Linked DNA regions of Anolis sagrei. The protein of the gene in region 3 interacts with the protein of the main gene of each other region in a biochemical or structural test. Links are inferred from orthologs where the notes say so. Each region holds a gene or a part of one and is shown on either strand. Other genes may lie near its edges. The genes, in order: FBL, FUS, PRMT1 and BTG2.

Region 1 (6,842 bases), on a different chromosome or scaffold from region 3:
TTGTTAGGGTCCCACATGTGATAATATGTCAATCAAAATCATAAACAACCAATGAGCAGCTGTAAAGCTAGCTTAGACCAATGAAATGATTTGTCTGTGGGAACCAATGAGAATGTGTATGCCAAAAATGATAAAAGCTCTGCAGACAAACCTTTGATTGCATTCCTATGTGCATGTTTGTCGATACAGTGTTCTCTCGCTACTTCGCGGTTTGCTTTTAGCGGACTCGCTGTTTTGCGGTTTTTCAATAAATATTAATTTAAAATATATATCGCGGTATTTTTGCTGTTTCATGGGTTTTTGCTGCCTTCGCTCTCCAACACACTTTCCCTCCTCGGTCCTTTCTCCCTTGAAGGGCCTTTCCTTCCTGCGTTCTCTCTCTTCACCTGGTGAAGGGAAAGGTGAGGAGGGCTTGCTTTCTTTCCTTCTTTGCCACCGCACTGACAGGGAGGCAGGTACGGGGAGCCCCGGGGGAAGGGGGGGAGGAGGAGGAAACCTCATGCACAGCTACCCATGCGGAAGATTCAGGAGTGTTTTAAAAGAAACAGGTACAGTACATGTACTGTACAGAACAGTGTGGGAAAGGTTATTAAGGGAAAGGATTATGTAGTGTATATGTGTGGGGAGGGTTTATTTTAAGTTTATAAAGACTTTAAAAAGTGTAGGTAAAAGGTAAAGGTTGTCCCCTGACATTAACTCCCCTAAGTTTGGGCATTTGGAGTGCCCCCTCCCCCCCCCCCATCGGTGCACCTTCACTTCTTTTTTGACTTGGGTGATGGTTGGAGTATTTATATAGGTATCTATCTGTGTGTGATTTTGGCAACTGGACTGATTGATAAATGGCAAATAGAGGGAGAAAACGTGGAGACAGTGACAGACTTTGTATTTCTAGGTGCAAAGATTACTGCAGATGCAGACTGCAGCCAGGAAATCAGAAGACGTTTACTTCTTGGGAGGAAAGCAATGACCAATCTCAATAAAATAGTGAAGAGTAGAGACATCACGCTGGCAACCAAGATCCACATAGTTAAAGCAATGGTATACCCTGTAGTAACCTACGGATGTGAGAGCTGGACCATAAGGAAGGCTGATAGAAGGAAGATAGATGCTTTTGAACTGTGGTGTTGGAGGAAAGTTCTGAGAGTGCCTTGGACCGCGAGAAGATCCAACCAGTCCATACTTCCAACTGCTCACTGGAGGGAAGGATATTAGAGGCAAAGATGAAGTACTTTGGCCACATAAGGAGAGGAGAGGAAAGCTTGGAGAAGATCATGATGCTGGGAAAATGGAAGGAAAAAGGAAGAGGGGCCAACCAAGGGCAAGATGAATGGATGGTATCCTTAAAGTGACTGGCTTGACTCTGAAGGAGCTGGAGGTGGTGACGGCCAACAGGGAGCTCTGGCATGGGCTGGTCCATGAGGTCACGAAGAGTCGAAAGCAACTGAACAAATAAACAACAACAAAATTAATATATGTGCTAGCACTTGGTATTGATCGTGCTTCCTGCAGTGGGGCAACAAATACTCCGTCACACTCTGGAAGCCATGGTTTAATTATTTCAGGATTTGAGGTCCTCTGAATGATATGACACTTATTTGCCTGCTTGCTCTGCCTCTTTAGCTCCAGTTCTCCCCAATATCTTCTATATAAATAAAAATGTAATGTTCGTTTGTGGGATTAACTTAACTCAAAAACCACTGGACGAATTGACACCAAATTTGAACACAAGACACCTATCAGGCCAATGAGTGACCACCACTCAAAAAATTGAGCTTATCATTTGGGAGTTATAGTTGCTGGGATTTATAGTTTACTTACAATCAAAGAGCATTCTGAACTCCACCAATGGTGGAATTGAACCAAACGTGGCACACAAAACTCCCACGACCAACAGAAAACACTAGAAGGGTTTGGTGGGCATTGACCTTGAGTTTGGGAGTTGTAGTTCACCTCCATCCAGAGAGCACTGTGGACTCAAACAATGATGGATCTGGACCAAACTTGGCACGAATATTCCATATGCCCAAATATGAACACAGATGGAGTTTGGGGGAAATAGACCTTGACATTTGGGAGTTGTAGTTACTGGGATTTATAGTTCACCTACAATCAAAGAGCATGTTGAACCCCATGAGATAGAACTCATAGAAATGAGGAAAATGGAAGGAAAAAGGAAGAGGGGCCAATCAAGGGCAAGATGGATGGATGGTATCCTTGAAGTGACTGGCTTGACTGAAGGAACTGGGGGTGGTGACGGCTGACAGGCTGGTCCATGAGGTCACAAAGAGTCGGAAGCGACTGAACAAATAAGCAACAACATCAATATGTGTGGGTTTTCTGTAAACTCTGTGACTCAACTATTGATTGGGTTTGCAACCGTACCTCGCGAAGGCTGATCTGGCCGGGGTGGTCCATGCCTTGGTCACCTCTAGATTGGACTACTGCAATGCGCTCTACGTGGGGCTGCCCTTGAAAACGGCTCGGAAGTTCCAACTGGTCCAACGAGCAGCGGCCAGGATGTTAACTGGGGCCCCTTACAGAGAGAGGTCAACCCTCCTGTTCAAGGAGATCCACTGGCTGCCGTTTATTTTCTGAGCCCAATTTAAGGTGCAGGTGCTTACCTACAAAGCCCTGAACGGTTTGGGACCATCCTACCTGCGTGACCGCATCTCCGTCTACAAACCCACGCCCTCACTTCGGTCAGCTGGAGAGGCCCTGCTTATGATCCCGCCTGCGTCGCAAGCGCGTTTGGTGGGGACACGAGACAGGGCCTTTTCTGTGGTGGCCCCCCGACTCTGGAACACCCTCCCCAAAGATCTTAGACAGGTCCCTACACTGGCAGTCTTTAGAAAGAACCTGAAGACCTGGCTGTTCCGATGTGCCTTCCCAGAATAGGAAATCTCCAATACCAAGTCCCAGAAGCACTTTATTAAAACTAAGATTACTGCACACTGCACTTGCCCTATAAGCCTTATATACCACCTGTCACATCAGCACTTTTAATCCTGTACCCATTACTCTGGCCCGGCCCAGTTTTATTGTGTCTTAGTGTATTGTTTATTGCTTGTTGTTTATTTATATTGCTTTAATTGTTTTTAATTTGCCTTTGGTTTGTATTGTTGTATTGTGCGTTGAGGCCTTGGCCTTTGTAAGCCGCATCGAGTCCTTCGGGAGATGCTAGCGGGGTACAAATAAAGTTTAATAATAATAATAAAATAATAATAATTTGCAGATAACTACTATGACATTTAGAAATGGCAGTTTTCCTTCATTTTCTTTTTCCATAGTGAATTGGATGTTTGGGTGGATGCTGCTGAGGTGGTCCAGGAACTTGTTCAGCTCTTTTTCTCCATTTTCTCTGGTTATCCCTTCTTTTCCAATATCATAAGCGCTGGTTGTTTCCAAAATGGCAGCATGGGTGGGGAGAATTAACAGGAAAACGAGGAAATGGTTTCACTCCTTCAGCCCCTCCCTCCCTTGGAAAATGGGTTCTCCTTCTCTCTCTCTCTGGCGCCTCCTTGTGGCCTCCCCCTCAGATAGTGAAACTAGCCAAAGTTATTATAATAACGGACATTTTGTAAATGTCGCTACAGTTTTCCATTTCTCTGTGGAGGCGCCTTGTATTCACAGAAGCGCCAGAGCAGACACAAACAGCCATGGGCCTAATCTGACCTTCCAGCTGGAAACGGAACAAAGATGGCGCCGACTTCAACAAGCAAACGGCAGCGAAAAGGCCTGGAATTGAAAGCCCGCACAGCGCATGCGTAGAATGCTCGACGTCAGTTGAGGCGGGCTTACGTTACCCCGCCCCCTCCCCGGCCTGCTCACGCACTTCCGGTGCGCCAAGGGATCCTGAGCGCGTGGGGCTCTGCGTGCTTGCACTTCCGGTCTTGGAATTTCAGGCGCGTGTGGCGTTCGTGCGGTCTGTGATCGGCAAGCAAGATGAGGCCCGGTGAGAGCGAGGAGAGGGAAGGAAGGAGGGGAGCCCTTAAGGCCGGAGGGAGGGAGGGAGGGCCCGAGAGGCCGCCCGGAGCCCGGCCTGACGTCTACCTTGTGCTCGTCCTGCAGGTTTCAGCCCTCGCGGGGGACGTGGGGACCGCGGAGGACGCGGCGGCTTCGGGGATCGTGGACGCGGAGGCTTCCGAGGAGGTCGAGGTGGGTTTCACGCTCGGTTTATTTTCAGTCCAAGCTGCCAGAAGTTCCTTTTTTGGATTACTCCCAAGTTTGTAGTAGGCGCAGAAACCTGCAGAAAGTTCTTCCTCGTGTTTAATTCTTCTTCTTCTTCTTTATTTATTAATTATGTATTTACTTCATTTGTATACCGCTATTCTCAGCCCTAAGGCGACTCATGGCGGTTTACAACAATCAAGCAAGAACAAGGCAAACAATCAGGCAAAAATTCAATGCGGCATCAACAAGATACTTAAAAACAATTAACACAGAAACAAATTAAACAATTTAACAGTAATAAACATTCAAGTGGTGCCTCATAACTACAATCATGATCCAAACTCGTCAGTCGTGGTTCCATTTCCTGAAGTCATTGCACTGCTTATTCAAGCGCCTGTTCAAATAGCCAGGTTTTCACTTTTCCCCGGAAAACCATCAAAGAGGGAGCCAATCTAATGTCCGTGGGAAGGGCATTTCACAGCCGAGGGGCCACCACCGAGAAGGCCCTGTCTCTCGTACCCGCCAGCCGTGCCTGTGTTGCAGGCGGGATCGAGAGCAGGGCCTCCCCGGAAGATCTCAAAGTCCTAGTGGGTTTGTAGGTGGAGATGCGATCGGATAGGTAACTTGGAAACTTTATACCCCGCCACCATCTCCCCAAGGGGACTCGGGGCGCCTTACATGAGGCTAAGCCCAACAATTACAACAGTGCAAATATACAACATAAAAATACTATAATGAAAATAAAATACAAGAAGCTGCCAGAAGTTCCTTTTTTGGATTACTCCCAAGTTTGTAGTAGGAGCAGTAACCGGCAGAAAGTTCTTCCTCGTGTTATTATTATTATTATTATTATTATAAAACTTTATACCCCGCCACCATCTCCCCAAGGGGACTCGAGGCGGCTTCCATGAGGCCAAGCCCAACAATTACAACAGTGCAAGTATACAACATAAAAATACAACAGTAAAAATATAATGAAAATAAAATACAAGAAGCATTACAAAGTAACACACACGGTGCAAATTAAAAGCACAATAATTGGGCACAGTGGGCAGGGCCAGTTGCAAAGTTAAAAAGATTTAAAACACTGGGTGGGATGAGCAGTGTAGTGTATCTGGAAGGAGGATCTGATGGGACGAAACAATGGGGTTTAATTGCACTGGAGGATATTTATTTATCGTGTCATCTGCAACCAGAACATTGTATTACATTTCTAACAGGACAAAACAAACAAACAGATAAAAAAAACACAAATTTTGCAAACTTGGTAGCTGATTAAATGTCCTTTGACCAGTATCTGGCCACTTGGAGTGCCTCTGGTGTTGCCACAAGAAGGTCCTCCATCGTGCATGTGGCAGGGCTCAGGTTGCATTGCAGCAGGTCGTCTGTGGTTTGCTCCTCTCCACACTCGCATGTCGTGGATTCAACTTTTTAGCCCCATTTCTTAAGATTGTCTCTGCATCTCGTGGTGCCAGAGCGCAGTCTGTTCAGCGCCTTCCAAGTCGCCCAGTCTTCTGTGTACCCAGGGGGGAGTCTCTCATCTGGTATCACCCATGGATTGAGGTGCTGGGTTTGAGCCTGCCACTTTTGAACTCTCGTTTGCTGAGGTGTTCCAGGAGGATAAAATAAAGTGCATCCGAGGGCATTTTATGCAGGGTTTGGTCAAGGTCAGGGATTGTTGATCATTCATTGAAGGCACACTGGAACAGCCAAGTTTTTAGGCTCTTCCTGAAGACTGCCAGGGTGGGCGCTTGCCTAATTTCTCCGGGGAGCGAGTTCCAAAGCCGAGGGGCCACTATAGACAAGGCCCTTTTCCTCATCCCCACAAGTCGCGCTTGCGATGGAGGCGGGAGCAAGAGAAGGGCCCTCCGGAAGATCGAAGGGGTTGTGTAGGTTCGTGGAAGGAAATGCAGTCACGAAGGTAGTTAGGTTTTTGTCTGCCATTTGAAGCTATTTCTCCATTGTGTCCTAGTTTTTTCAAAAATGACAAAAGATTGAGAACATGGAAAAAGAAAAACACTTGTGAATTCATAGCTCCATCTGAACAACAACTTGCTCAGGCATGGGCAAACTTAGGCCCGCCAGGTGTTTTGGACTTCAACTCCCACATTTCGTAAGGGTAGGCTGTTACGAATTATGGGAGTTGTAGTCCAAAACACCTGTTTGGTGTTTTGGACTTCAACTTTGTCCATGCTTGAGTTAGCTGATATTTAGGGAAGATAAGATTTCTGGAATCAGGATATTCTTTGTGCTATTTGGACAAGCTTAAGAAGCTACCCCAAGGTTCCAAATTGTTTGAGGAGAATATTGTTGCACCAGCTCCACTGGCTGCCAGTCTGCTACCAACCATAATTCAAAGTGCTGGCTTTAGCGTATAAAGCTCTAAACAGTTCCAGCTTACCTGTCCGATCATATCTCTCTCTATGAACCACCTCAGAGATTAAGATCGTCTGGGAAGGCCTGCTCTCAGTCTTGCTTCCTTGCAAATGCTACTGCAAATGCGAATTTAATTTAAATTTTTAGTGGTATTGGAATTATATGTGTTTTAAAGCATTGAATAATTGGAGTTGGAAGAGATCACAAGAGCCATCCATTCCCACCCCTTGCCATGCAGGAACACCCAATCAAAGCACCCCCGGCAGATGACTATCCAGTTTCTGTTTTAAAAATCT
Region 2 (7,865 bases), about 7.3 Mb from region 3:
CAGCTTGAAATTGCATTATATGGGTAGCGTAGACTCACATCATGCAGCTCAACACAATTAAACTGCATTATATAGCAGTGTAAATGAGGCCAGACAGCTAGGAAGAGAAGCTACACAAGTCCCTCTTGTTCCACCACATTATTTGTTCTGTGTGTCTCGGGGACAAGTCACAACATTCTACCAAAATAGAATAAACAAACATAAACAAGCGCACACACAAATGGAGGACAGGAAAATTCACAGAGGCCTGAGGCATGTTCGAGCAGGCATTTGATTAAGCAGTATAATTGAATATAGGAATATGGAATAATGGATGATGAGATTGGATTCGGATTTTACTGATGAGATACTAATGATTGTTATATTGATGTTTTATCGTTGATGATGCTACTGTTTTAACTGTCCCATATTTGTTTTGTGATGTTTTTGCATTGAATTTTGCTGTTGTTAACCGCTTTGAGTCGCCTGAGGGCTGAGAAAAGCGGTATATAAATGAAGTAAATAATAAATAATTATCCTAATCCAATTTCTACAAAACAGATACACTGCCTTTGTGCAGGAAGACAAAATCAACATCTTTCCCCTTGAGTCACAACTATAGCTTTTTCTAGAACAGTCATGGCCAAACTTGGGCCCTCCAGATGTTTTGGACTTCAACTCCCATCATTCCTAACAGCCTCATCTGAGGGGGTAAAAGGAAAGGGCTTGAGGCTGTTAGGAATGGTGGGAGTTGAAGTCCAAAACACATGGAGGGCCTAAGTTTGGCCATGGCTGCTCTATGAACGCCTTCATTGGGGAGGAGAAAAAATTACATTGTATTATAGAATCATAGAATCAAAGAGTTGGAAGAGACCTCATGGGCCATCCAGTCCAACCCCCTGCCAAGAAGTAGGAATATTGCATTCAAATCACCCCTGACAGATGGCCATCCAGCCTCTGTTTAAAAGCTTTCAAAGAAGGAGCCTCCACCACACTCTGGGGCAGAGAGTTCCACTGCTGAACGGCTCTCACAGTCAGGAAGTTCTTCCTCATGTTCAGATGGAATCTCCTCTCTTGTAGTTTGAAGCCATTGTTCCGCGTCCTAGCCTCCAGGCCAGCAGAAAACAAGCTTGCTCCCTCCTCCCTGTGGCTTCCTCTCACATATTTATATATTGCTATCATATCCCCTCTCAGCCTTCTCTTCTTCAGGATAAACATGCCCAGCTCCTTAAGCCGCTCCTCATAGGGCTTGTTCTCCAGACCCTTTATCATTTTAGTCGCTCTCCTCTGGACACATTCCAGCTTGTCAATATCTCTCTTGAATTGTGGTGCCCAGAATTTGACACAATATTCCAGGTGTGGTCTAACCAAAGCAGAATAGAGCATGGGTAGCATGACTTCCCTAGATCTAGACACATTATGGATCAGGAAATGCTGTAAAAAGAAGCAAACCCACCCATGGGCCTCCAGAGTTATTTATATATATGTGTCTGTGTGTATGAGAAGTCGCCCCCACACAAGTAGAGGCTGCTGAGGTAACAAAGAATAGAAGAGCTGGAATCAGAACCATCAGCGCTTTAAATGAGAAGTCAAAGGGGCTTCCTGCGCATGCGCGGATCCCGCGAAGAGGGCAAAAAAAATGACAGTTGAGCTCGTGGGCGGTGAAGAGAATGACTCAACGGGGTGGACAACGTTCCAAAGGAATGGGGAAGGGCAAGGGCCCGGATGTAACACTGCGACAAACAGCCTTGTATACGCATGCGCAAGCTTTTCTTTCCCCAGCGCATGCGCGCGCCGCTCCTTCCTCTCCTAACTAAGCATCTGAAACGCCGGCACACACCTCGAGTACTTTTCCATTGTCTATTCCTCCCCCTCAGCGTGTTCACTCGCGCATGCGCAGCTGCCGAACACTGCCCGTGTGTCGTTGCCATGGGGAGCCCCGTCTCCTTCCCCTCCCTATAAAAGCCCAGCCCTCCCTCGCGCTCCTTCCAGAGCGGAACTGCCCCTCCTCGTGGCCTAGTTCTCACGCTGGCACAAAATGGCGGCGAATAATGGCGCAGTTCAAGATCTCTTCCTTCTAGACAGCCAAAAGCGACCGGCATGGCCTCCGAATATTACCCCTTAGTATATAAACCCAACCATAATACTATTTCCATATGAAACCGCTATTTAAGGGGCCTTTCGCTCCGTAAAATGGAAGTCACCCTATTCAAATGGGGTACAAAATGGCCTCCGTTGTAATAATACCCAATCTGTTCTTGTGCGTTTTTTCGGGCTATATGGCCAGAGGGTGGGGTGACTGGGGTGGGGCCAAGAGCTCTTCTCTGCTGGAGCTAGGTGTGAATGTTTCACCTCTCAACAAAAGATTCTCCCAGGCTCAGCCAGGCCTTCAAATGCTAATGAAGGTGGTCAGTTGAAACAGTCACACCTAGCTCCAGCAGACAAGAGTTCTTTGCCTCACCCTGGTCTTCCCACAGATATATAAACCCATTGTCCTAGTTCTATCAGACCTCACTACCTCTGAGGATGCTTGCCATAGATGCAGGCGAAACGTCAGGAGAAAATGCCTCTAGAACATGACCATATAGCCCGAAAAAACCCACAAGAACCTATTGATTCCAGCCATGAAAGCCTTCGACAATACAATACCCAATCTATTTCGCAATAAAGATCTATGCATGTAAAGGAATCGTGTAACCCCCAGAGAAAGGGAAAACACATCCTAGGAGACCCAATCCCTTTGAAAATCCTATTCCAACCCCATTGCAATCTTTAGTTTTAGTTTATCAGAACCAAGAATACAACCATTGAATCTTAATTCCTCCTGGTGAGTCAAACTCGCTGATTCAATGGCTCCACTCTGGATTCAAGCATTGCACCCGCTACAAAATTCAATATATTACACCCTTTTGTATCCTCTTCCTCACCGTTAGACGCCATTGCTGTAGACCCCTCCAAGTCTCCCCCCAAAGCGGCCAAAAGCAACCTTCCTTCCCGTCTCCTTGCCTCCGAGCGCTTTCCCAGCCCGCTCTTTCCTTTATATACTTCCCCCTCCCATTCAGCCTTTAGGCCGAACCATGTTAGTTTGTGGGGGGAGAGCCGAGAATAGACATCGTTTCCTCTCCCCACTAAACTGAACAACTCGCCGCCATCTCCTCCCAAAGAATCCCAAGCTAATATCAATCATTGATTTAAATAATTAACAGGCGAGGTTAATTCACGGGACTGGTTTCCAACAGAATGGGATTCCAACCCCCCCCCTACCGCACTGAAATGGTACAGTCCATATAGAACGGAGGTTAGGGTGAGCTCACAGAGGAAGACTGGAAGCAACCAAATTGGCAAAGAAGGGGGTCAGAAAAGGAAGAAGCAAAATAAATAAATAAATGGGAAATTGCTTCTGAAGACAAACAAGACATTTTCTCCAGTGGATTATAATATATTTAACGACTCCTATATTGTTGTTGTTATTTGCAGCCCGTTTACACTACATTCTTTTCCTGCTTCTTAGCAGGGGGGTTGGTCTAAATGGCCCACGAGGTCTCTTCCAGCTCAATGATTCTATGAAAAGAATCTCAGCACCAATTAAAATCCAAAAATATACAAACATTAAAATATTTATTTATTTACTATATTTATCCCCTGCCCCCTCTCACCCCGAAGAGGATTCAGAGCGCTTATATGTACATACTATCTATCTATCTATCTATCTATCTATCTATATAAATGCTCTGTGCATAATGCGTACCATAAAAAGAAAAGAACCAATGAGCGAAATCACACCAAATTTGGCAACAAAATGTCTCACTACACAAGGAGTGACCATCAATCAAAAATTACGATTTTGTCATTTGGGAGTTGTAGTTGCTGGGATTTATAGCTCAGCTACAATCAAAGAGCATTCTGAACTCCACCAACGATAGAATTGAACCACAGAACTCCCATGACCAACAGAAAATACTGGAAGGGTTTGGAGAGCATTGACCTTGAGTTTGGGAGTTGTAGTTCACCTATATCCACAAGGCACTGTGGACTCAAACAATGATGGATCTGGACCAAATTTGGCATGAATACTCAATATGCCCAAATATAAACACAGATGGAGTTTGGGGGAAATAAACCTTGACATTTGGGAGTTGTAGTTACTGGGATTTATAGTTCACCTACAATCAAGGAGCATTTCAAACCTCACCAACGATGGAATTGGGCCAAACATCCCACACAAAACCCCCATGACCGACAGGAAATACTGTGTTTCCTGGTGGTCTTTGGGGACCCTTCTGACACCCCCCTGGTGACCCCCCCCCCCCCCGGGTGTATTGACTTCCCAGGTTGAGAAATGCTGCCTTAAGGTCATCCAGCCCAGCTCCCTTCACCAGGGCAACAAAACAAAGCCTCCTGACAAAGGGCCATCCAGCCATTCACACACACACATATATGTATATGACAGATGCAGTATCAAAGATTTGAAAGGGACCCCTAAAGAAGGACAATGATATGTTACATGTTCCAGAGTAGGCAAACCAGACAATCTCCACATCAACACTGGCAAAGAAACAACGAGAAATACTGTTTACCCTCAAGCATAAAGACATTACATATATTAGAAACCAACACATTCTCATTACTTCATATCCAGATCACCAGACTGGGCCACAGCAACGCGTGGCAGGGGACAGCTAGTGTCTTATATTATTAGCCTAGCACAATATTGGCATTATATATTACTATATTGTACTATGCCACTATACTGTAATATCATTAGTAATGTTACACGTAATATATAATATATAAGTAATATTATTGTATTTTATTATTGTTGTTCATTCGTTCAGTCATTTCCGACTCTTTGTGACCTCATGGACCAGCCCATGCCAGAGCTCCCTGTCGGCCGTCACCACCCCCAGCTCCTTCAAGGTCAGTCCAGTCACTTCAAAGATGCCATCCATCCATCTTGCCCTTGGTCGGCCCCTCTTCCTTTTACCTTCCACTTTCCCCAGCATCATTGTCTTCTCTAGGCTTTCCTGTCTCCTCATGATGTGGCCAAAGTACTTCAACTTTGCCTCTAGTATCCTTCCCTCCAATGAGCAGTCGGGCTTTGTTTCCTGGAGGATGGACTGGTTGGATCTTCTTACAGTCCAAGGCACTCTTAGAATTTTCCTCACTACAGCTCAAAAGCATCTACTTTTGCTCAGTCTTCCTTATGGTTCAGCTCTCACATCCATAGGTTACTACGGGGAATACCATTGCATTATCTATGTGGATCTTTGTTGCCAGTGTGATGTCTCTACTCTTTATTATTTTATCAATTTTGGTCATTGCTCTCCTCCCAAGAAGTAAATATCTTCTGATTTCCTGGCTGCAAGAAACCCTGTTTCCCTTCCCCATCAAAATCCATAGCACCCTTGCAGCTGACTAGTGCCAAAATGCCAGGGCTTCCCAGTCCTTGGTGATTATAAAGTAAAGGTAAAGGTTCCCCCCGATATTAAGTCTAGTTGTGTCCGACTCTGGGGGTTGTTGCTCATCTCCATGTGTAAGCCGAAGAGTCGGCGTTGTCTATAGACACCTCCAAGGTCATGTGGCCGGAATGACTGCATGGAGCACCATTACCTTTCTGCCAGAGTAGTACCTATTGATCAACTCACATTTGCATGTTTTCGAACTGCTAGGTTGCAAGAAGCTGAGGCTAACAGCAGGAGCTCACACCACTCCCCGGATTTGCACCTGCGACCTTTCGATCAAGTTCAGCAGCTCAGCAGTTTAAATATATAGTACTATATTGTTGCTGGGGGGAAGAGCCCCCAAATGAGGGCACAGGAGATAAGGTGGAACTGTCTTCCTGGCCTCCCCTCCTCACTCTAACCCCAGAGCAGCAGTTGGTGCTGGGGGGAGGGCCCCTCGACTGATGGTACAGAAATAGAAACATCAATGGTATTAATTAAAATTAACAGGTAAAATCCTAACGAAATGCTTTGGACCAAAAGTATTTTTGATTTCAGTTTTCATTCCCAGATAGCTAGATAGATAGATTTCATGAGATATATTGGAGATGGGACTCAAGACTAAAATCAAAATTCATTTATGTTTAATATACACTTTGCATAAATAGTCTGAAGATAATTTTCTATTTATAATTTAATAATTTTGTGCCTTAATATAAAGCTGGTGTACACTGAATCAACAGAAGCCACCCATGTGGACAATTTTGCAGCATCTTTCAGATTTCTGGATAAAGAACTTGTGTTTCAAAGGAAGTAATTGGCCCCCACTGAATAAATGGAGGCATTAATATTTCACAAACTAGATTTTACACTTGAATCTGTACTGTATGCCATACAAGGATAAGCACCTTCTAGAGTTTTGATATAATCATCATCATCCCAGGCGACAGCAGGATTGATGAGAAGCAACTGGAAAAGCTTAGATATGAGGATTTAAATAACTGCAAAGACTCTGGCACAAGCCAGTAAAGGTGATCCCAGGGGTGATCAGCATACTGAGTGCAGTAGCTAAAGACCTTGGCCTGCACTTAAAAACAATCAGCGCTGATAAAAATTACCATCTGTCAGCTGCAAAAGGCCACCCTACTGGCATCTGCATGCATTATTAGCCGATACATCACACAATCCTAGACACTTGGGAAGTGTCCGGCATGTGATCTAATACAAAAGCCAGTATAGTAATCTTGTTTGCTGTGTACTAATTTTGGTTTGTATCAAATAATAATAACAACAACAACAGCAACAATTTCGCTGGACTGGCCATGTTGTCTGAATGCCCAAAGCAGGTACTATACTCCCAACTCAAGAATGGAAAATGGAATGTTGGTGGACAGGAAAAGAGAGTTAAAGATGGGCTTAAAGCCAACCTTAAAAACTGTGGCATAGACACAGAGAACTGGGAAGCCTGGCCCTTGAGCTTTATCTCTCCTGAAGGGGAATCCTAACAGCTGGTAAACTGACTGGAATTTCTGGGAGTTGTAGGCCAAACCACCTGGGGACCCACAGGCTGAGAACTATTAAAACAAAATCAAAGTTAAGTTCATAGAATCATAGAATCAAAGAGTTGGAAGAGACCTCATGGGCCATCCAGTCCAACCCCCTGCCAAGAAGCAGGAATATTGCATTCAAATCACCCCTGACAAATGGCCATCCAGCCTCTGCTTAAAAGCTTCCAAAGAAGGAGCCTCCACCACACTCCAGGGCAGAGAGTTCCACTGCTGAACGGCTCTCACAGTCAGGAAGTTCTTCCTAATGTTCAGATGGAATCTCCTCTCTTGTAGTTTGAAGCCATTGTTCCGCGTCCTAGTCTCCAAGGAAGCAGAAAACAAGCTTGCTCCCTCCTCCCTGTGGCTTCCTCTCACATATTTATACATGGCTATCATATCTCCTCTCAGCCTTCTCTTCTTCAGGCTAAACATGCCCAGTTCCCTAAGTTGTTGTAACTCAGTGGTTCCCAACCTTTTTTTGACCAGGGACCACTTTGACCAGGGATCACTCTCCAACATTAGTACCAACAGCGTTACGAATCACTTTTTGGTAAACTTTAGATTCAGTTTGGGGTGCTGATTCAGAAAATTGCATTGGATAGACCACATCAGTTCTAGTTTCTGATGTAGAACATATACCATGGTCAGCAACAGGGAAGGAGTGGCAAGTGGCACAAAAATGGCGGAAATAAAATAATATTTTAAAACAAATAAAATAAAAGAAAGAGGAAGGAGGCTCGTAGACCAGATTTTCGTCCTCGCAGCTCAATGGTGATCCATGGCCCACAGGTTAAGAACCACTGTTCTAACTGGAATGTTCTAACTAGAGGTCAGCTATTTATTTATTTATAGCATTTTTACCCTGCTCTTCTCAACCGCCCGGGGGGGGGGGGGGGTC
Region 3 (6,905 bases):
GGTTGTGGCTGAAGAAGGAGACAGAAGGCCTGATTCTTGCAGCCCAGGAGCAAGCCATCAGAAGAAATTCAATTAAGGCCAGAATTGAAAAATCAGCTGTTGACCCAAAATGCAGTCTGTGCAAGGAAGCTGATGAAACCATTGAGTATATCCTCAGCTGCTGCCAGAAAATCGTACAGACGGACTACAAACAAAGACACAACTCTCAGATGATTCACTGGAACTTGTGTCACAAGTACCAACTGCCAGCAGTAAAGAATTGGTGGGATCATAAACCCGCAAAGGTCGTGCAACATGAACATGCAAAAATACTGTGGGACTTTCAAATCTAGACTGACAATGTTTTGGAACACAATACACCAGACATCACGATTGTGGAAAAGAAAAATGTCAGGATTATTGATGTCGCCATACCAGGTGAAAAACAACAGGAAAAACTCAGCCGCTATCAAGACCTCAAAATCGAACTGCAAAGGCTCTGGCATAAACTAGTACAGGTGGTCCCAGTGGTCATTGGCGCACTGGGTGCTGTGCCAAAAAATCTCAGCTGGCATTTGGAAACAATAAACATTGACAAAATCACCATCTGTCAACTGCAAAAGGCCACCTTACTTGGATCTGTGCGCATCATTCGAAAATACATCACACAGCCCTAGACCCTTGGGAAGTGTTTGACTTATGATTTTGTGATACGAAATCCAGCATATGGATCTCGTTTGCTGTGACATACTGCGCCTTTGTGTCAATAATAATAATAATAATGCTTTTATGATATGCCAGTCTGATTCCTCTTCAGAAGAGATAAAGTGGGGTGTAAATAATGATGATGATGATGATAATAATAATAATAATAATATCAATCAGTTAAATAAAATTGAAATAAATACACAAATAAAATGGAAAGAATCGTTAAATGAATAAATACATTTAACCAAATTGATTTTAAATAAAGTAAATGAAGCAAACTAATAAAAATTGTAGAGTGATGGCAAACTACAGCTCCCAATAGGATCCCATAGCATGGAGCCAAGGAAGTTAAAGTGGGTTTAAACTTCATTCATTCTGCATTGTACATGCATTCTCCAGTGCCTTAGGGGGTGCATCTACACTGTAGAAGGAATGCAGTCTGACACCACTTTAATGACCTGGCTCCATGCTATGGGATCCTATTGGAAGTTGTAGTTTAGTGAAGCACCAGCACTCTTTGGTATCAAATTTGATTGATTCTAGTGCAGGCATGGACAAACCTCGACCCTCCAGGTGTTTTGGACTTCAACTCCCAGAATTCCTAACAGCCGGTAGGCTGTTAGGAATTTTGGGAGTTGAAGTCCAAAACACCTGGAGGGTCGAAGTTTGCCTGTGCCTTTTCTAGTGTATAGATCTCTTTTTCTCACCTCCTTCCTGTTCTCTATAGAGTCGGACGTGAGTCTAGGCACATAGACGAATTTCACCACTGCAACTTAAAATTCTCAATGGTATCTCGACTGAACCAATGAGCTTTCAAGAGAGAATTCTGGGTTTGTGAATGGCACACCCACTTTGTCCTTACTAGGAGAGCTCTGGCTGGAAATTATCCAATGAGGCTTTAGGATTTTTTTTATTGACAGGCAATCTATCCAATAGCTGATCGCACAAGCAGAAAAGGCTGTTCTTCGTCGCTGAGTGACGTCATGCCCTTCCATATAACATTTGACCTTGGCAATGAATGAACACAAACCAATGAAATAAATTACTGTCCTTTCCAAATTCGGATTGACATGTTTGTCTGCCAATACAGATTTGTCAATAATTTATCCTAAATGATGGATATGCCATTCAGCCAATAAGGAAATGAAGGCTTTTTAATGACACTAAGTGAATACTATCAATGGGGGTAAAAAAAAAAGATTGATAGGTGATGAGTGTACACTGTAGACTTAATGCAGTTTGATACCGCTTCAACTCCCACGTCTCAATTATATGGAAATTTGGGCTTTGTAGTTTTCGGCATTTCTCTGCCTTCAGCATGTTAGGCCCCTTGTATAGTCCCAAATAAAATCCAGATTATCTGCTTTGAAGTGGATTATATGTCAGTGTAGAGTCATATAATTCCATTCAAAGCAGGTAATTCAGATAATCTGCTTTGAACTGGATTATATATCAGTGTAGACTCACATAATCCCATTCAAAGCAGATAATTCGGATTATCTGCGTTGAACAGGATTATATGACAGTGTAGACTCGTATAATCCGATTGAAAGCAGGTAACTTGGATAATCTGCTTTGAACAGGATTATATGTCAGTGTAGACTCATATAATCCCATTCAAAGCAAATAATTCAGATAATCTGCTTTGAACTGGATTATATGTCAGTGTAGACTCATATAAACCGATTCAAAGCAGATAATCCGGATTATCTGCGTTGAACAGGATTATATGAGTCTACACTGACATATAATCCCGTTCAAAGCAGGCAATTCGGATAATCTGCTTTAAACAGGATTATATGTCAGTGTAGACGCATATAATCTGATTAAAACAGATAATTTGAATTATTTCATTTGAACTGGATTATATCTGTGTAGCCTCGTGTGATCCAGTTCGAAGCAGATAATTTGAATTTTCTGATTTGAACTGGATTATATATCAGTGTAGACTCGTGTGATCAGGTTCAAACCAGATAATGCGTATTATCTGGTTTGAACTGGATTGTATGTCGGTGAAGACTCATATAATCCGATTCAAAGCAGATAATTTGGATAATCTACATTGAACCAGATTATATGTCAGTGTAGACGCATATAATCCAAGTCGAAACAGATAATTCGGATTATCTGGTTCGAACTGGATTATATGTATATCAGTGTAGACCAATGTGATCCGGTTCAAAGCAGACAATGCGGATTATCTGCTTTGAATTGCATTATATTGGTCTTCACTGATATATAATCCGGTTCATTTGCGGATTATCTGGTTTTATAATCTGAGTTATATGGTTGTGTCGAAGGGCCCTAGGTTACATGGCAGTGTATTTATTTATCGTGTCAGGACAGTCAGTCGATTATATTACATTTCTAACAGAACAAAGCAAACAAACAGAGAAAATACAAAATGTGTGAGTTTGGTAGTTAATTAAATGTCCTTTGACCAGTATCTGGCCACTTGGAGTGCTTCTGGTGTTGCTGCAAGAAGGCCCCCCATTGTGCATGTGGCAGGGCTCAGGTTGCATTGCAGCAGGTGGTCAGTATAGAAGGAGCTTTATATTGTCATGTACTTCTTGACAATTAATGCATCGTTTATGGGGCTAAAGAGAACCTCTGTTCTTTGATTGTCAGTTTCGTTAACAAATCCGTTTCTTTGTCCCACCCCTTTGAAACAAAGCAACCAATGATGATTGAGAATACGGAACCCTTTGCTTTGACAGGCATTTCCATCACCAATAAATCTTGGAATATTAGCTCCAAAACCCGCCTCCCTCTTTTAATTGGTGGTCGTTTCTTTTCCGGACCAATCATATTTCATACTAACAAACGGGCCCGCCTCTTGGTTCGTGATTGACAACGCTCTGTTCTTTGGGTGTCTTAAACCAGGCATGAGGCAAACTTCGGCCCTCCGGGTGTTTGGACTACAACTCCCACAATTCCTAACAGGCGGTAGGCTGTTAGGAATTGTGGGAGTTGTAGTCCAAAACACCCGGAGGGCCGAAGTTTGCCCCATGCCTGTTTCTAAAAGAAAAAAAGCCCGCCTCTTTTACGGAAAGCACCCAATGGGATTCGAACGTCGGTTTGATGGAAGATCCCGTCGAAGAGTGTGTCGCGTCAACCAATGGGAAACAAGGAGGCGGGGCTTATTTCCCCACCTCTTTCTCTTTCTCGGGAGTGACAGCGGAGCCACCCAATCGGAGGGAGTCCCACCTCCTCGGCTGAACGAGAGCGTTGAGGGGAAAGGGGAGGGGGCGGGCGCGCGAGACGGCTTCTCTCTCTCTTTCAGCGTCTCATTCGCAAGATGGCGGAAGCTGCAAACTGCATCATGGAGGTGAGGGCGCGTGGGAGGGGTGGAGGGAGCGGGAGAAAGGGGGAAAGGGGCTCCAGGGAGGCCTCAGGCCCCACACACCCCTTCCCCATCGAGCCCGGGCCCTTTGGGGGGACCTTTAAGGAGGGACCCCCCACTCCCTTCCCATTCAAAGGCCTGTCCGCCCCTCATAGTGAACCCCAGGGCGCTTTCCCCCATCCTCGAGGGTTCCTTCTCCTTCCAAGAGAAAGAAAGGCCTTTGGGTCTCATTGGAATCCCCTCTTCTCCTACTGAAGGTTTTATTTTCTCTCCCCACATCAGTATGAGGAATGGATTTTTCTGATTTATTACTATTATATATCTTATTAGTTTATGATAATTTCCCCACATTGTTTTTAGGAACGCATGCTTCCCTGATTTGTTATTATTATAACCCAATTTTTGATAATATTCTAAGGAACATATTATTATAATATTATATTTACACCCCAGTTTATGATAATCTCCCCACATTGTTATTAGGAACACATGCTTCCCTGATTTTTGTTATTATTATAGCCCAATTTTTGATAATCTCATTCTAAGGAACAGAATATTATTATATTAGATTTACATCCCAGTTTATTGTAATCTCATTCTAAGGAACAGATTATTATTATAATATTATATTTACATCCCAGTCTATGATAATCTCCCCATATTTTTATTAGGAACGCATGCTTCCCTGATTTTTGTTATTATAGCCCAATTTTTGATAATCTCATTCTAAGAAACAGATTATTATATTATATTTACAGTTTATTATAATCTCCCCATATTTTATTAGGAATGGATGCTTCCCTGATTTTTGTTATTATTGTAACCCAATTTTTGATAATATCATTCTAAGGAACAGATTATAATAATAATATTATATTTACATCCTAGTTTATGGTAATCTCCCCACATTTTTATTAGGAACGCATACTTCCCTGACTTGTTATTATATCTTAATTTTCGATAATCTCATTCTAAGGAACAGATTAATATTATTATATTTACACCCCAGTTTATTATAAGGAACGGATGCTTCCCCGATTTTTTTTATTATAGCCCAAATTTTGATAATCTCATTCTAAGGAACAGATTATTATTATAATATTATATTTACACCCCAGTTTATGATAATATCCCCACATTTTTATTAGGAATGGATGCTTCCCTGGTTTGTTGTTATTATAACCCAATTTTTGATAATCTCATTCTAAGGAAAAGATTATATTATATTTACATCCCCACATTTCCCCCCCTCCATATTCCAGAATATCAAGACAAAATCCCACAATGGGCCCTTCTACACACACCCCTATATCCCAGAATATCAAGGCAGGAAATCCCACAGTATCTGAGTGTGGACTCAGATAACCCAGTTCAAAGCAGATATTGTGGGATTATATGCCTTGATATTCTGGGATATAGGGCTGTGTGGAAGGGCCCTGAGTCCACACTGCTCACTTGATATGTATCATCATTATTGTAGGATATTTTCAGATCATCTCCCAAAATTATTCTGAGAAATAATGAGGAGTAATAATTATTATTATCCCAATTTTTGATAATCTGATCTCCATAAGGAACAGATTCTTCCTACTTGATATGTATTATCATAATTATAGGATATTTTCAGATCATATCTCCACATTATTCTGAAAAATAATGAGGAATAATAACAATAATATTCTAACCCAATTTCTGATTATCTGATCTCTGTCAGGAACAAATTCCTCCTCACTTGATCTCTATTATCATTATTATAGTATAGTATATTTTCAGATAATCTCCCCCACATTATTCTGAGGAATTAGTATTATTATTTTATTATTCTATCCCGATTTCTGATAATCCGATCTCTATCAGGAACAGATTTTTCCTTCTCACTTGATATGTATTATATAATAATAATAATAAACTTTATTTATACCCAGCTCGGCTTACATGAGGCCATATAATTATAGTATATTTTCAGATCATCTCCACATTATTCTGAGGAATAATGAGGAGTCATTTTTATTATATTATTATATGATTATTGATATGAATTATTATATCCCATTTTCTTAACGAGGCTCAAAAATACTACAATTTAACATCGATGGATTGTAATATAATATTTTCGAATTTCTGATCATCTCCCCACATTATTCTGAGGAATAATGGGGAATCATTTTTGTTATTATATTATTATTTCCCAATTCCTGATCATCTGATCTCATAAGGACAGATTTGTCTTCCTCATCATTTGATATGTATTCTGATATTCAGTGGGTGCTATGAAATTATGCGGCCTCCTTTTCTCTAAAGCTGGTTCCCTCCGCAATTCGGCTGCTTCCCTCCTCATGGTCCCCGCATGGCATGATGGCACGCCTCGCCCCGGAGGGCCCCGCCTCCTCCGGCCCGTCCAGCCCCGCCCCCGCCCGTCTAGGAAGAAAGCGCGCCGGGCCCCGAGAAATCCGCCTCCTTCCTCCCCTTTTGTGGACGGATCCCCTTCCTTTCCTCACCCCAAACCGCCTGGAGCTCTCTGCCCCATAGAGATGCCCAGAGCGCTTCATGCTCCCTTCTCTGTGCCAAGCCTGCAGCCATCTATTGGGATGAACCTAAGGACACGTGGAGCACGTCTGCACTGTCTCCCCAATGGCGCTCTTTGTCCAGAGAGAAGCCTCCCACCCCTGGAATAGCATGGGATGTTTCCCCTGTTCATTGGAGCCATTTTTCCTCCAGCACCGTAAGAGTGCAGTAGACTCTTAGGCTCCTTCCACACAGCTCTGTACAATCGACATTGAACTGGATTATATGGCAAGTATGCACTCCTAACCCAGGGCCCTACCATACAGGACCTATATCCCAGGATGTGATCCCAGGGTTTCTGCTTTAAACT
Region 4 (7,244 bases), on a different chromosome or scaffold from region 3:
AGATGGTTGAAACATTCTGGGAGTTGTAGTCCAACAAAATAAGTACTCCATGCTTCATTTTCTATGTGTCTCAAAATTCAGATTGTTCAACATGGTATCAAAGTCAGAGCATCTGTACAGACAGGTCATAGAAGCACCCTTGTCTCTTCATCAAATCAGCTTCAGTAAAATTTACTGAAACTAGACATCCTCTTTGTTAATACAGCAGCATTACACACATCCCACACACGTGATAGATTCCAACTGTTATCGAAGGGCTAAAAATATAAACTCAGGTTTCTAAATCTGGTTCTAATACCAAAAGTCTCTACAAAGGCTTGCTGATGATCGAAACAACTCTCTTCTCTTTAGAGTTAGATGTGGTGACAAATATGTCAGAGATAATTTGAGGCAGGGGACTGATGAGGCTTACATTCATGTAAATATCTAGTTAGGAATAAATCCCATTATATTCAAGGAACTTAATTCTGAGTAGAACATGGACAAGTGTGCATGTCTTGGTTTTGTCTCTCTTCCTCCCAGTCACCTGGAGGAAGTCATGCAAGGTTTCACAATACATGGCTGTTTAGTTGATTGTGCCTATTTATACCAAGAAGATGGGGGTTTGAGAAACTGTGGACGTGTTCAAAAGCACATGACTTGCAAGCATATAATTGAAAAAGAAAAGAAAATGGCCTGGTATGCAGAGTGAGGGGAGAGGTATAGCATTTATTGCAACCTCTTCTTACCTGGTATATCAGAGAAACACTCCGTTGCTGGATTACAACATTTAAAATATGAAAAGTATATGTGTGGGGAGGGGGAACTATTCAAATTTGAAGGAATCATTTGGGTAAAAGTTAGAATAAATAGGTGATGCATTGACAAATAAAGGCCTTTGCATAGATAAATATACAAAGCCCACACACAGTGGTAAATGCTTGGTGGTATGGGGATACCAAGCCACCTTGTCCATCTCCTGTCTGTCTCCTGAGGAATCTGTATAACGACCAAGTAGCAACAGTAAGAACAGACCATGGAACAACAGACTGATTCAAGATTGGGAAAGGCGTACGGCAGGTTGTATACTCCCACTCAACCTATTCAACTTGTATACAGAATGCATCTTCAGTGCGGCGCCTGAAGAATCCAAGGCTGGAGTTAAAATTGCTGGATGAAACATTACGAACCTCAGATATGAAGATGATACCACTTTGATAGCTGAAAGCGAGGAGGAACGGAGGAGCCTTATAACCAAGTTGAAAGAAGAAAGTGCAAAAGCTGGGTTGCAGTTAAATATAAAAAAGTCAAGATTGTGGCAACCAGACTGATTTGATAACTGGCAAACAGAGGGAGAAAACATGGAGGCACTGACAGATTTTGTATTTCTAGGAACAAAGATTATTGCAGATGCAGATTGCAGCCAGGAAATCAGAAGACGTTTACTTCTTGGGAGGAGAGCAATGACCAATCTCAATAAAATAATTAAGAGTAGAGACATCACACTGGCAATGAACATCCGCATAGTTAAAGCAATGGTATTCCTCATAGAAATCTATGGATGTGAGAGCTGGACCATAAGGAAGGCTGAGCGATATGGAAGGAAAAAGGAAAAGGGGCCAACCAAGGACAAGACGGATGGTTGTTACCCTTGAAGTCACTGGTTTGACCTTGAAGGAGCTGGGGGTGGTGACGGCTGACAGGGAGCTCTGGCGTGGGCTGATCCAGAAAAGCTTAGGAAAGCTTAGAGAAGACAATGATGATGGGAAAAATGGAAGGAAAAAGGAAGAGGGGCCGACCAAGGGCAAGATGGATGGATGGCATCCTTGGAGTGACTGGATTGACCTTAAAGGAGCTGGGGGTGGTGACGGCCGACAGGGAGCTCTGGCGTGGGTTGATCCATGAGGTCACAAAGAGTAGGAAGTGACTAAACAACAACATGCATACAGTGGGCCCTTGATATCTGCTGGGGTTTGGTTTGGACCTCCGTGGATATCCAAATCCATGGTTTCAAAAATTTAATGTTATACTAAAATGACCTTCTGTATACAAGATTGTAAAATGTTTGCTTTTTGGATTTCTTAAAGATTAAGCCATGGGTGGTTTCTTACATTGATACAAAAGGCCAAGTGTTATTTTGAATGGTGGCACAGCCAAACAATGTATGTAAATGTTGGGCTGCTCTTAAGTTTAGCAAGAGAAAGTGTCTTGTAGCCCCTTCTAAATGCAACTCCCAGTGGTCTAGATCTCTTTTACAGTACACAGTTATAGGCAATCCCCAAGTTATGAACAAGATAGGTTCTGTAAGATCAAGTACATTTTTAAGTGTAACGCCTGCCTGCCCGCTCGCCCACCCGCCCATCCATCCATCCATCCATCTATTCTAGCTTTGGGTAGCATAGGGAAGGATTAACATCCCTGTGGTGTTTGTTTTGCCGTCTGTGCCCCTGTTCAGAAGATTTCACCTCACCTTCTGTCCCTGTGATAATTCGATTTTGAAAAACGTGGCTTGTTGTGGAAAGAAGAATTGGTGAGAAAGCTTTAATGGAGACACCTTTTGCCCATGATAACTATTTACAGAAGTGAATTTCTCTTCTGAGGGGTAGATTGCTCTCACTTCTTGTTGTCTCACCCCAGTTCTTAACTATGAGTTGTTTGTAAGTTGGATGTTTGTAACTCGGGTACTGTCTGTGTATCATTTTCATGCCACTTCAATTACTGTGGCTGTGTAGAATCCTGGTATCTGCAGCTTGGTGGTGGTCAATTGCTTGACCTCCCTGGCAGAAAATTCTAAATATCTCATACTTGAAGCTGAGAGAATGTGACTTGCCCAAGGTCACCAAGCGGGATTCCATAGCTAAGTGGAAATTCAAATCCTGGTTTCCTTAGCAGTATCTTAACACTCAAGCTACCACACTATGCTGGCTCTCTGCTGGTCATGTGTCCACTTTAGCTTCATCATGACCCCATCTTCCGAGTAAATCAACAGACTATACCTTTTGTTTTGCTGCATTTATAAATTTATTTTTGCTTTCCCCACAAGGTGCATACCTGCCTGGTAAACAACAATCTGGGGAGTCTGGTGACCGAGATCACTATCTTTCTAGTGAGCTGGTCATTTGCCATGGTTGGCCCAGACCTTTTATTCGCAAATAATAAAGGTCTTTAAAGCTGGTGCCTCACTAAATGAGAACTCCCTTAGCATTTGCCTTGCCCTGACTGTTGTTTATATGTTATCAGTTTTGGGGCCTTGAATGTTTGCATTTTTGTCATTTTTGTAAACTGCCCTGAGACCTTTGGGGAGAGAGGGTGGGTTATAAATATATTATTATTATTATTATTATTATTTACTCATATCAGATAAAGTGGAGTCAAACTGCAAGAATTCTACAGTGGAGATACCACTCAATTTGATGGATTCATGGGAGTTGTGGTGCTTTAATTATTTTTTACTGGTTTGATGGGATTTTAACTATTGGTTTTTAAACATTCTGTTTAATTCTATTTTGATCATTATATGTTGTTGGTTTTAAATAGTATTTTTTCATGTGAGCGGCTTTGAGTTTTGTTTAAGAGAGAAAAGTGGGATATAAATATAACAATCATGGCTCAAAGCTGTGAAATCCTGGGAGTTGTAGTTTTCCAAAGTCTTTAGCCTTTTCTACCAAAGAAAACAGGTGCCTCACTTAGCTCCAGCAGACAAGAGTCCTTTGTCCCACCCTGGTCTTTCCACAGATATATAAACCCATTTTCCTAGTTCCAACAGACCTCACTACCTCTGAGGATGCTTGCCATAGATGCAGGCGAAACATCAGGAGAGAATGCCTCTAGACCATGGTCATATAGCCCGAAAAAACCTACAACAACCCAGTTAGTGTTATATTTTGCTGAATGGGACACAGATCTGGTCAAAACAAGCAGATTTTCCCAGGTTGTTTTGCTAACTGTGTTTCCTTTCTTCCAGCCAACCAACCCCTATTCTCTCTCTCTCCCTTTCCTCTTGATCCTGCAGCTCCCCTACTAGGCAAAGCCCTATAAATAGCCCCATTGCAGAAGGCCTCCTCCCCCTCCTCCCTCTCCTCACCCCAGCTGCTCTGACCATGTTCCCGGAGCCTGACTTTCCGAGTACCGACGTCACAACTTCCACCCTGCTGAGGTCACAACTTCATTAGCATATCCAGCGAGCGCTCGGCCAATCAGGAGCTCGCTTCGCCGGTGACGCCTGCCTGGTCCAAGCGTATTAAGAGTCCCGCACGGAGCCAGAGCTGGACGAGTTAAGGGAGGGGGAGAGCGGCGGACGCGAAGGGCGCCTTCTCCGGAGAAGAACGAGAAGGAGAAGCAACAGCGCCGTCTTAAAGGGGCCGCCCTGAAACAAAGAGAGAGGAAAACAATCCGTCCCATTCCTTGAATCTTGCTAAACGAAAGCAATCATGAGCCAAACCCAGCGTTGGAGTGGGAGCTGCGTGACCAGCTGCAGCCGGGCGGACATGGTGCCCGAGATCGCCGCTGCCGTGGGCTTCGTGTCCAGCCTGCTCCGGACCCGAGGCTGCGTGAGCGAGCAGCAGCTCCAGGTGTTCAGCGGGGCTCTGGAAGAGGCGCTCACAGGTGAGGGAGGGGAGAGGGGATCTCGAGAGCCACATCCACAGTGTAGGTTGGACAGGGGCCAACTTGGGCCCTCCTTCCAGGTGCTTTGGACTTCAAGTCCCATCATTCCTAACAGCCTCAGGCCCCTTCCTTTCCCCCCTCAGCCGCTTAAGCGGCTGAGGGGGGAAAGGAAAGGGCCTGAGGCTGTTAGGAATGATGGGACTTGAAGTCCAAGGCACCTGGAGGGAAGGCCCAAGTTGGCCCATGCCTAGTAGAGATGCACCCTTTGTTCTGCGAGTCTTCTTTGTTCTTCTCCAAGAGGCAAGCCATGGCACAAAGTCCTCCCAAGCACTGTTGCAAACCACAGTAGGAGGACTGACCATGAGCTTTTGAGGACATTTGAAACCCCCCAATCCAGGAACCCAGTGGCTTTGTCCGAATCAACCCGCACACTGTTTCTCAACCTTCCCAATGCCGCAACCCCTTGATACAGTTCCTCCTGTTGTGGTGACCTCCCTCCCCAACCATAAAATTATTTTAGTTGCTACTTTGTAACTATAATTCTGCTACTATTATGGATCGTCGTGTCAATATCTGATCTGGAGGGTGTATTTTCATTCACTGGGCCAAATTTGGCACCAATACCCGATACACCTAAATTTAAATACTAGTGGGGATTGATTTTTTGTCATTTGGGAGTTGTAGTTGCTGGGATTGATAGTTTGCCTACAATCGAAGAGCATTCTGAACTCCACCAACAATGGAATTGAACCAAACTTGGCACACAGAACTACTGTGACCAACAGAAAATACTGGAAATGTTTGGTGGGCATAGACCTGTTTTGTGGGGGGAGGTTGATTTTGTCATTTGGGAGTTGTAGTTGCTGGGATTCATAGTTCACCTCCAATAAAAGCATTCTGAACTCCACCAATGATGGAATTGAACCAGACTTGGCACTCAGAACTTCAGTGACCAACACAAAATACTGGAAGGGTTTGGTGGGCATTGACCTTGAGTTTTGGAGTTGTAGTTCATCTGCATCCAGAGAGCACTGTGAACCCAAACAATGATGGATCTGATCCAAACCCGTCACAGATACTCAGTATGCCCAAATCTGAACACTGATGGAGTTCGGGGGAAATAGACCATGACATTTGAGAGCTGTAGTTGCTGGGATTTATAGTTCACCTACCATCAAAAGGCATTCTGAACTCCATCAACAATGGAATTAAACCAAACTTGGCACACAGGACTCCCATAAGTAACAGAAAATACTGCATTTTCTGATGGTCTTTAGTGACCTCTCTGATACTCCCTCACAATCCCCAGGTTGGGAAATGCTGAACTAGAGAACCATGAGATTGAGGACATTTGAAACCCCCAAATCAGGGAACCCAATGGCTTTGTCTGAATCGACCAGCAGCAAAGGACCTTGGAAGAAGGGGCAGCTGAGCTTGTCTATTCTAGGATATCAACACATAGTCTTGTGGCACCGCCAGAGCTCTGAGATTTATTTCAGAAGGGATTTCCGTGGCTCACAAGTACATCCTGAAATCAATCTGTTCCTCTTAAAGGTGTCACAAAGCCTTTTGATAATTTGCTTAAGTGTCTTATATTACAGGCAAGTCTGGTCTTGCAACTTCCTCAAGGTGTATTATTCAGTGCTGAAGTGAGTGTTTGTGCTGTCGAAAATATAGTTTCCTCATAGCTCCATCCTTTGTCTCTAGATGTAAGCCTGGTTGAATTCACCAGTGTTTAACATCAGGCAGCCATTTCTTCCTGTTGTTTATAACTATGGGCTCTCTGAATCTAATATTTTATTCGATAATACAATGAAGGCTTTCATGGCTGGAATTATTGGGTTGCTGTGAGTTTTCTGGACTGTATGGCCATGTTCCAGAAGCATTCTCTCCTGAAGTTTCATCTACATCTATGGCAGGCATCCACAGAGGTTGTGAGGTTTGTTGGAAACTAAGCAAGGGAAGTTTATGTCCAGGGTGGGAGAAAGAACTCTTTTCTGTTTGTAGCAAGTGTGAATGTTGCAATTGATCACCTTGATTAGCATTGCAAAGCCTTGCTTAGTTTCCAATATGCCTCACAACCTCTGAGGATGCTTGCCATAGATGTGGGCGAAACGTCAGGAGGGAATGCTTCTGGAACATGGCCATACAGCCCAGAAAACTCACAGCAACCCAGTTTAATACAGTTTAAGAGATTTTCTAAGCACAACTCATGACACAATAGAGTGGTATGTTGAGTTGAGGTACAGGAGTGGATTGCAAAGGCTGTATGCTAATGGCATTGTCTGCTAAGGAGCTTTCAGTAATCATGGTAGCTCTCTGGTTAATGCCTCCTGGGTTCTTCGAGCCCAGACTTGTACAAGTACATCTCTACTACCAAGTAACTGAAGTTTGGCACTACTATTAACTGCTATGGCTTCATTGTCTAGTAGCTTGGGATCTGAAGTTTAGTGGGGCACTTAGAATTTTCTGTAAAAGCGTATTACTGCATTCCTATGACTTGGAGTACTAGGAGTCTGTAACAAAGAATTCTTAAGTGTCTCACCATGATGGTTTATAGCAGCATCAGATTTTTTTTCCATATCAGGAGCAACTTGAGAAACTGCAAGTTGCTTCAGGTGTGAGACAATTGGCCATCTGCAATGACATTGCCCAGGGGG

The links.
Region 1: of the proteins of PRMT1 (region 3) and FBL, one has a biochemical effect on the other in vitro, tested with the Homo sapiens proteins (2 studies listed by BioGRID). The link is inferred for Anolis sagrei from reciprocal best matches to the Homo sapiens genes PRMT1 and FBL.
Region 2: of the proteins of PRMT1 (region 3) and FUS, one has a biochemical effect on the other in vitro, tested with the Homo sapiens proteins (3 studies listed by BioGRID). The link is inferred for Anolis sagrei from reciprocal best matches to the Homo sapiens genes PRMT1 and FUS.
Region 4: the proteins of PRMT1 (region 3) and BTG2 form a complex in vitro, tested with the Homo sapiens proteins (2 studies listed by BioGRID). The link is inferred for Anolis sagrei from reciprocal best matches to the Homo sapiens genes PRMT1 and BTG2.

Annotation. Positions count from the first base shown.
Region 1 is NC_090034.1:87,654,766-87,661,607, reverse strand, and holds the start of FBL (rRNA 2'-O-methyltransferase fibrillarin), read left to right. Parts: upstream 1-3,827; 5' UTR 3,828-3,942; coding exon 3,943-3,952; intron 3,953-4,068; coding exon 4,069-4,155; intron 4,156-6,842.
Region 2 is NC_090026.1:14,969,957-14,977,821, reverse strand, and holds the start of FUS (RNA-binding protein FUS), read right to left. Parts: upstream 3,012-7,865; 5' UTR 2,920-3,011; coding exon 2,907-2,919; intron 1-2,906. UniProt on the Homo sapiens protein: DNA/RNA-binding protein that plays a role in various cellular processes such as transcription regulation, RNA splicing, RNA transport, DNA repair and damage response. Binds to ssRNA containing the consensus sequence 5'-AGGUAA-3'.
Region 3 is NC_090026.1:22,288,996-22,295,900, forward strand, and holds the start of PRMT1 (protein arginine N-methyltransferase 1), read left to right. Parts: upstream 1-3,900; 5' UTR 3,901-3,985; coding exon 3,986-4,015; intron 4,016-6,905. UniProt on the Homo sapiens protein: Arginine methyltransferase that methylates (mono and asymmetric dimethylation) the guanidino nitrogens of arginyl residues present in proteins such as ESR1, histone H2, H3 and H4, FMR1, ILF3, HNRNPA1, HNRNPD, NFATC2IP, SUPT5H, TAF15, EWS, HABP4, SERBP1, RBM15, FOXO1, CHTOP, MAP3K5/ASK1, MICU1 and NPRL2.
Region 4 is NC_090024.1:191,488,819-191,496,062, forward strand, and holds the start of BTG2 (protein BTG2), read left to right. Parts: upstream 1-4,230; 5' UTR 4,231-4,409; coding exon 4,410-4,584; intron 4,585-7,244. UniProt on the Homo sapiens protein: Anti-proliferative protein; the function is mediated by association with deadenylase subunits of the CCR4-NOT complex. Activates mRNA deadenylation in a CNOT6 and CNOT7-dependent manner. In vitro can inhibit deadenylase activity of CNOT7 and CNOT8.